2 linked regions of the Oryzias latipes genome follow. The protein of the gene in region 1 binds, or shares a complex with, the protein of each later gene. Links are inferred from orthologs where the notes say so. Each region holds a gene or a part of one and is shown in the gene's direction. Other genes may lie near its edges. The genes, in order: intu and wdpcp.

Evidence for each region.
Region 2: the proteins of intu (region 1) and wdpcp are in contact, whole or in part, in a cryo-EM structure (PDB 7Q3E), measured with the Mus musculus proteins. The link is inferred for Oryzias latipes from reciprocal best matches to the Homo sapiens genes INTU and WDPCP. Residues at the interface, in NP_780724.3 of Mus musculus: Val481, Gln484, Val488, Asp491, Ser495, Asp496, Glu498, Ala499, Ala500, Asp501, Ser506, Glu507, Asp508, Arg513, Arg514, Thr517, Ser532, His533, Leu534, Pro535, His574, Tyr593, Glu610, Gly613, Cys614, Ala615, Ser616, Lys617, Ser653, Pro654; in NP_663400.2 of Mus musculus: Phe3, Cys4, Leu5, Ile24, Leu51, Ser54, Arg55, Asp56, Lys93, Leu385, Ala386, Glu387, Asp388, Tyr389, Ile427, Lys446, Leu447, Gly448, Ile449, Leu450, Thr451, Arg452, Gly453, Leu455, Leu462, Gln463, Ile465, His466, Tyr467, Gln487.

What each region holds. Positions count from the first base shown.
Region 1 is NC_019876.2:18,867,013-18,870,829, forward strand, and holds part of intu (protein inturned), read left to right. Parts: intron 1-918; coding exon 919-1,134; intron 1,135-3,817. UniProt on the Homo sapiens protein: Plays a key role in ciliogenesis and embryonic development.
Region 2 is NC_019873.2:11,912,281-11,916,741, forward strand, and holds the start of wdpcp (WD repeat-containing and planar cell polarity effector protein fritz homolog), read left to right. Parts: upstream 1-1,456; 5' UTR 1,457-1,902; intron 1,903-3,314; 5' UTR 3,315-3,365; intron 3,366-4,461. Other genes in the region: mdhb (cytosolic malate dehydrogenase B), read right to left, coding at 254-350, 741-839, 1,299-1,301. UniProt on the Homo sapiens protein: Probable effector of the planar cell polarity signaling pathway which regulates the septin cytoskeleton in both ciliogenesis and collective cell movements.

The sequences.
Region 1 (3,817 bases):
TTTTTCAGTGTAAACCAATCAGCCACAACCGTAAAACCATTTGCTGAATGTTGTTCTCCAAAAACAGCTTGGATTTGAAAGGGCTTGACAGGAGTCCACGGTGGTTTTTGGCAAGATTCTCTGGGCTCTGTGGGCTTCCTTCATTCAAGCCTCATAACCCGTTTTCCCGGTGATTTCAAACAGATGTCTCAAACCCCTGTGTTAACATACTGCTCCTTCTTGAGTTTGATGCTCCTACATCCACAACAGCACAGCTCCATAGCTGACTCTGACAGGTGGCTTTCTTTAAATGTGATGAGGTTTTTTGTGCTCGTCGTTTGGGTTTTTCTCCACCAAGTATGCAAAGAATGAGAATTATTTTTGTTTTATCGCTTTGTCTCTGTAGCTGCTTTTAACTGTATTCTTATTTTAGATCGAACATAGAAAACCATCCATTTTTTTCACAGGACAGTCTACTTTTATTTCACTGTGCATCCATGTGTGTCGGTTATAATTTCACTCGAGACAGAGTTCTCTCCAATCCTAATTTTCTCAGTTACATTTTTTGAAAATAGAACAGAATGGAAAGTAGAACTTGTGCATGAATGACAGACCCTATCTGCTGTCCTGAGTGGTTTTTTTTTTGTGGGTTTGCAGTGGTCTGGTTTTCATTTTGCCGAGCACACAGCCACATATTCCAGCTCTTTGTCATGCTGCGGTTCGGTCTAGATGACTGTATCACTTTCTCTGTCCCTCTTTTCCCCCCTTTAGGACGAGTGGTGTGTGAATGCAAATGTAGTGGGTCTTTAGACAGGCAGCTTCATCAATGTTTCTTTTAATAATTTTTCCACACCTTCTTAATATTGTAGGTCATGTAATCCTTCATTCTTTCACTTTTCTTCTTCTTTTTTTCTTGTCTTTCTCCCCACCCCCCTGCAGGTGAGGCTGACGTTGGAAACCGTAGCTCTAAAGGACAGGGACGAGGCCAGGGGCACTTCATCCACTCAGAGGATAAAGGCTTCTCCACCGGTCAGCCAGCTGGTGCGCCTGCTGTGGGGGGAGGACACGGCTGAACTGCAAATGTCACTGGGACACATCCCACACGTTGTCATGTACCTGTCACTTAAACTGGACTCATCGTCGCTGCAGGAAGAGGTCAGTAAGCAGCTAAAGGAACTGTCAAAAGGTCTGATATCCACCTGGGGAGGAGGGGGGGGGGGTAACAGGAAAAGAAGCTGCTTGGCCATTGAGTGTGTAAAAGATCTGGACTGAGTGACTCCTTCCCCCTCACGTTCCATACAGGAAGTACCCGCTGGCTCCAAGAAGCCAAAATACCATGGACTTCTATAGAGAAATAAACAGCTTTTACTCAGTCATTCTTTTTCTTAGAATAATCATTCTTGATCTGTGACCTTTTTGTTAACATGTTCTAGCTCATTCTAATGTTTTAAATGATGTTTTTTTCTCTAATGTAAGGTATTCAAGTTATCAAGTGATGCCTCAATAAAAGTAGGTGGTGCCCGCTGGCCCCCACATCGAATGTTTAATATGTTTGATTGACACATTCTCCCAAGCCCACCTTCAAGTGGAATGGGTGTGGCTTTCCAACAAGCTCACGCCTAACTGGCGAGAGCGTTGCCGTAGAAACGTTGATCAGACCAATCACTACTGATTGACGTCTGTTTCCAACATGGCGGCATCCATATCGCCAAAAAATGACAACTGAATTGACTTCATTTGGTGGGAGCTGGAAGTAAACTGTTTTCTATGGATGATGTCATGGTCACTCAGTCCAGTTCGCATATACAGTCCAATTCTTTTGTATATAATAGATGTTTATTATTCATTTTGGACTTAAAGCTATAATGGAACATCCCTTTTAGCTGAGAAACTCTTTTTTTCTCACTGGCACAATTTATTTTAAGCAACAAAAACAAAATGTCTTTTACATATCAGCTTGAAACATTAAAACCTGGCATTTTTGGCCTCTTGTTTTTTGTCATTATGAAAAAAAAATCGATTTTATACCTTTTTACCCACATAATCTTGTTTGTGTCTGCGGTTTCCAACTGAAACTGTTATTACTTCCAGTGCTTGACCGATGTTTGTTACGTATCTGTATCTTTACATCCCTACTTTCTGAGCATCCTGAGCTGGTCTGACTGAGCTGAACAGAAAAAGCCAGCAGTAGCAAAGTACATGAAATAATAAAGCTGTCTCATCCATTGCTCCATTAAATCACATGGTAAGTCCAAAGTGACCGTTTTCAGAGTGGTTCAGGCTAAAGACCTTTCAGCTGAACTCATGTATGAATGATCTGGTGTTTTTACAGGCATCCTGGTGAGTTTCACTTAATTAAAAAATCCCATCCAACACACAAAAGTCTTCTGTTTGTGATTGTAATGTACCGGTATTTGGTTTAAAAAACTGTTTAATCCTATTTGACCAGCTCTTTCAAATATTTTTGTCGGTGTATCCAGATGATTTAGTGCGAAGAACTACAGTTGCGGGAAACTTCAGGAGCAAGAGGTTTTCTAAATCTTCAGAAAACTGCTGTTGGCTGCAGTCAAATCCCATGGGGAGCAGGTGAAGCACATCTAAAGCTCTTAAAACCTGTCAAAAAAGATCCGTTACCACGATGGTGTGAACCAGGTTCTGTCCCGACATAATCTCTTTGTGTGCGGCAGCAGTTAGGGAGTCTTTAAACATAAAACATTTCCTTTTCTTAATGGGAGCCATTTGCGAGGCGGTGTTGTAAATCCTCTGGAAGAGGACGCAGCTCACTTGTAGCGGAGCGTTGCAGAGGAAAGCAAGCTGCAGTTGTTTGCTGACTGACACCCCCGACACTGTAATCATGCGTCTGTGTGGACGGCTAATTTCAGGTTGAGGGTTGTACTTCACTGTTCTGCAGATCCTAACTGTGTTTGTGCCTGCCAGTTTTTTTTTTTTTTACTCCTTCTTGGATGAAATAGGAGTGAAGATGGAGAGCAGGGTTTGTGTGGAGCCACATCAGCCAGTGGTTGATTTTCTAAACGCAGGAATCCTCTGGACTCTTGACTTCTTAGTCCTTTGATTGCAGGGTTGTAGAAAGTGGAGAGGCCTGGCTGTGGTATTTCTGACTTCTGCTGTTGCAGGGATTTGTTGACGTGAGCTTTCTTTCCTTTTTTTCTGAGTTTTTTTCTTTGCCAGTCTGTATAATCAAGACAGATGAAGTGCTCTTCTCACACTTCAGCAACTCCCAATGCCACTCGCCCTCACTCTGACTGGGTTGTCTAGGCCTTTAGTCTGGTTGCCAAGGCTATTAGAAGCAGTTCATTCAAGGTTTCCAAATCCTTTCACCCTGCACTCCATCATCCCCCTCATTCTGGAAAAGTTCAGAGTGCAGGGAGAATGCCAAACTTCATAAGAAAGGCGCTACATTTGCCCAAAGTGTTAAAAAAAATCCGCTTTTTTTTAATTAAAAAATGCAATAAAACTAGTGTGAAGTTCACTAAAAACACTCATGTAAAATACATTTAAAGAAAACAGTTACTTTTTTGTGCATTTCTTTAAATGTCACATTTGTCTCAGGACACTTTCTTGAAACTCTGCCATCTCTTGCAGTGCAAAGCTTTTTGTTCAGTCCATCTGAAGTGTCAGAGCAAACCACATTTTTAGGATGACACATCCACTGGCTCATGGATCCATTATTCTTGTGTGTCTTTAACATCAACTTGTGGCTCCTGCAGCCTCTAAACTCAGTTATTTCACATCTTTTTCAGTTGTGAGGTTGACCAAAAGTGTCGATGGAAAACCTGGGCTATGATTTCGCAAAAACGTAGCAGCGCTTCAACCGTGC
Region 2 (4,461 bases), on another chromosome or scaffold:
GGGGTCTCAGAAATGTGTGTACCAAATGTGATACAAATGGTTTTATAGGGTTCATTTTTTTTAATAATAAATTGTGCTTTTGAGCAAGAACAGCTTTTAAAAATAATAAATGAAAGGCTGGAAAAAAATGCCCTGATGTGACCCGCTTACAGCAAAGATGGAGAGGCATTAAACTCCAGAAAACAAAATTTCTTTTATATCAAACAACATCTGCATCTTTATAGAATTAAATGTGTTTCGATGGAAGGTTTACCTCTCAGAAGTGGGAGGGCACAGTCCTGCAGCTCCATGACAACCCCTTCCAGGACAGGCAGCATGGGCGTAATGTCCAAAAGGAGCAGGATAATGGGCTGTCAGGAAAAGGGGGAAGTAAGATGCAGGGGAAAAAAATCCATAAGTTGGTGTCCATGCAGCAGGCTGGGTTGTGTTTCTGTCATGACACATCCACCTTTACTGACAGCAGCATGAGCCAAACGGATCAAGTGGTGTTTAAGATGGACTAAGACTCTTGGCAACAAGATCCACTTCGCAGACTTCAAGGACAATCATGGCTTCTCTAAGGCCAAACAGATGATCGGGTGCAATCTGATGGACTCCCACAGGGATGGCACCTGTTCAGACCCGCAATGGATACGATTGAAGACCCGCTGCATTCACAGCTGCTGGAGGCACATCCTTCACCTGCCTTACAGCTGACCATCACCAGATGAAGGAAGGGAATGAACAAATCATTTCATTACCTGATCTTTGCCAAAAACATCTCCTTTGGCGATGCTGAACAGAAGGGAGTAGGCAATCTGTCCGGCAGCACCAGTCACTAGAACACTGATTGGCTCAGCCTGCAGGATCCAAGACAACAGAGAGTCTTGTTACTCAATTAATTTATCAACCCAGATTTTACCAACAGGCCAAGAATGACAGTTTGGTAATATAAAGCACATGGGATCAGTGACTACCCCTGTCAACAGGATTTACTGCAGCATGGGGTCAGTTTATAAATAGACTCCCATGCCCTCCTTCACTCACTGTTACATAACAAATTATCCAGGGTTTATTAAGGTTATCTTCACCATTCATTCAACTGTAACAGAGGTTGGTTAAAAAGTCATGTAAACGATAGGAATATTTTTTAAATGCAGATAAATAAATAACGAACTCATCACTACTGTGCCACAAGCAGTCAAAAATACATTTAGCTGACTTTACTTAATTTCACAACTTTTTTTAGACAGTTCGGTCTCACATTGTCATATACAGAAACCACAATAAGAAATTATTATTAAACAGAATAACCTTACCATTATTTGTTCAGGAGTCGCACTGTTCTCCACTTCTGGATAAAGCCGCAGTTCACGCCTATTTAAACCCTCCGTTGATTACGACATATGCATCGCTCTCACGGTATTCAAGGAGGGGCATTGTGGGAATTGTAGTTTTGTATTGGTGTTTCCTGTAAGCGAAAAGAGCAAAAATGTCTGACTTTGTTTATTCCTGCAATTATTTTTTAAATTGATGAATATTTGATATGCCATAGAATATGCTTACGTGACTAACAATAAGAAAGGTGTTCAATGAGCTGTAAACGCGATAGCTGGTTAGCATCAGGTTAGCATTGGAGGCGTGTGAAGGTTGCCTAGCGACCAGCAGCGACATGTAAAAGCTAAACTGATCAGCTTCTCATCAAAAAATATACTCGAAAGTTTAGTTTGTGTTTAATTTAAGTAATTAAAACGGTGCCTTTTGAAGCAGCTGTCAACATGAGACTAGATTTATTAAAATCTTCGGCAAAAAGCAAGTTTAGTTTAGAAAATGCTAACTAGCTAGCTTAAGCCTTAAGCCCACAGTGACATCAACATTTGGAGGAAATAGAAGAACTTTATAAAACAAAATCCTGCATTTAAGGTAAGGGGATTATATGAATTTCTCTAGTTTTTGTTTGTGACTGCACCTGTGGCAATTTAATAAACTTTTATTATCAAATTTAAAGTTTAATGTTTTACTAGTTACGCATGAATGTATATATACTATATTCCCATTTTTCCCTATTTGGAACTCCCAGTTATGTGTTTCACCAGCCTTATTTTTTTACTTTACTTTATCTTCTGTCTACTGCATTTCTTTAAAAAAAAACATTCTGATTTAGAGTTTTGTTAGAAAAGCCTTTCATATTACTAACTTTAGGTTTTTACAAACCAAAAATGCCATTTCCTCAAATAAGTCACTGTATTCGAACATTTTTATTTAAAACTAAATGTTCAGTGCAGTTACACAGTTTGTGAGATTAGTACCAATGTGTCTGATTTCCCCTTAACTTTACCCTCAAGTGATGACTTGAAACCACATCAGCTTTGTGCACGTCAGTGGTTAAAACAATGTCAGTTCATGGGACTAGGAAATGTAATTCAAATGCTTATGAAATTATTTTATTTACTTTAAGTCAAAATTATTAGTTTTTGTCTAACTTACATTTTTAAAAATGTGTTTTTATTTATCATATAAAATACTTATTGATTCATTTTTTTCATCAAGTGATGGATACATTTTCTTAAATATGTTTTGTTAGAGATAGAATGGAATAGAGATGGAATCAATATTTTATCATCTAGAAAAATACATGTGTGAGTAGGGGGATTGGTAAATCTGCATAGCGGAGGGTTGGGGTTAAATTAGGACTTGCTTGAGGTAATTTAGATTAAGAATAAATGTAAAAATGTACCTTTATGTTGGTTAACATTTGAAGGATGTGCATTGGTTTCTCTCAGTTGTATTATTAAGATCAGCGTAGTCATTTTTTAGAGTATTGTTGTTAACCTGTAGGTGCCCTTCTTTGGCATGCGGGCATGATGGAGCAGATCCTGCAGAATCGCCTAAAATCCCTTTGGTTTCACAATAATGGCTGGTGACCGGGAGCATTTGAAAGAGTCTGTTGTTTGACAGAGTCAGACAAGTCAGACTCCGGTGTTTATTGTTTTTATTTCTTTGGCACTCTCCACTGTGGGGCTGACATGAGGGGATTAGAGATGCTTTGTCTTTGTAGAAAAAAAAAAGAAAGAGAAAAAAAAAGAAGGGAATAAGAGTGCAAGCAGTGTTGGGGCAGGCGATAATATCTGGTGCCGTTTGCATGCTGGCCTGATCTCCTGTGTGTGCTGTGAAAACAATCAGAAAATGTGGGGTTTGAGGTGAAACCTGTGGGCCAGTGATCACAGAGGAGGAGCCCAAATTCCGTTGGGGCCTAATCCTCTGTTCATGACTAAGTTAGCATGGCTTCCACTCCTCTTGTCCACACCTGTGTTATTCCCTTCTTGCCCCTGTAGATTTCACCTGACCGACCCTGTTGCATGGACAGAGAGGAGCCAGATTATCAGGTAACTAACTGTTGTCCCCCACAGACCAAACAGCCCTCATTGAGTACCAGCACAAACAGTGAGATAAGCACTCATGGACACACAAACAGCAAATGAACACAAATAGATCAGAGCTCCTATCAGCTACACCTTTTTTTAGCATGCGGCACATCTGTCCGTTAGCAGGTTCATGTCCCTGATGCTTTAGATCAGCTGATAAAGACTTGGATCAGACTTTTCTTACCATGCACCTCCAAAAGCAGCCAGGAGAGTCACTTGTAGTGGCAGCATTCATCCAGCAGGTGCCAGTATAAGCTGCAGATTTCTGCTCGTGTTGACTCACCTGACCCTGGGCTCCAGGGGAAAAAAGTGTTGATGGATTTCAGCTGAAGATTCTCCCCAAACACTTTCTGCTTCTGCAGAAGTCTGGCCTTTGAGAATCGCAGGGGGGTGCTTTAAAGTTTCCCTCTGAAATTGGATGACTCCAGATTTTGACACCTTCTTGCTTTGTTTAACCTGAACACCCAAAACACTAGGAGCTTTTTGAACGGCTAACCTCTGCTCTTTAAAGCTCCTAGTGTATTCACGCATCTGCAAAGTCTGCAAACTATTGACTTTAGACATAAAACGCAAAATTTGGTTATTTCTCTAACCTAAGATGGGAAGAAATCCAAAGGAAAATGAAAAAAAAATTAGATTGCTTTTAAAATTCTTCACCTAAAGCACATGTGTCAAACCCATGGCCCGGGGGCAAAATGTGGCCCGCCATGTCATTTTGTGTGGCCCGCGAGAGCATAAAAGTTTTTAATTTAAAAAATAATAAAAAATAGAAATTGGTGTGTATTTATTCATATCTAGGGGGAATCAGACTTGAAATACCAGATTGGGCAACTATACATTAGGACTTAAACACTGTCAATATAACCTAACCTGACAGAATCAAATTTAAAAGGATTTATGCTAAAGTAACAAGCAAACATATGTTTTCTATGCAACTGGAATTGTCACTTTAAAAAGTCATAATACAAAATGAGTTATCTAACATTAAGGAGTAGTTACATTTATTTTTCATTACAGTTACATTTTGGATAGCCCTGCCCCAAAGGAACCAAAATAC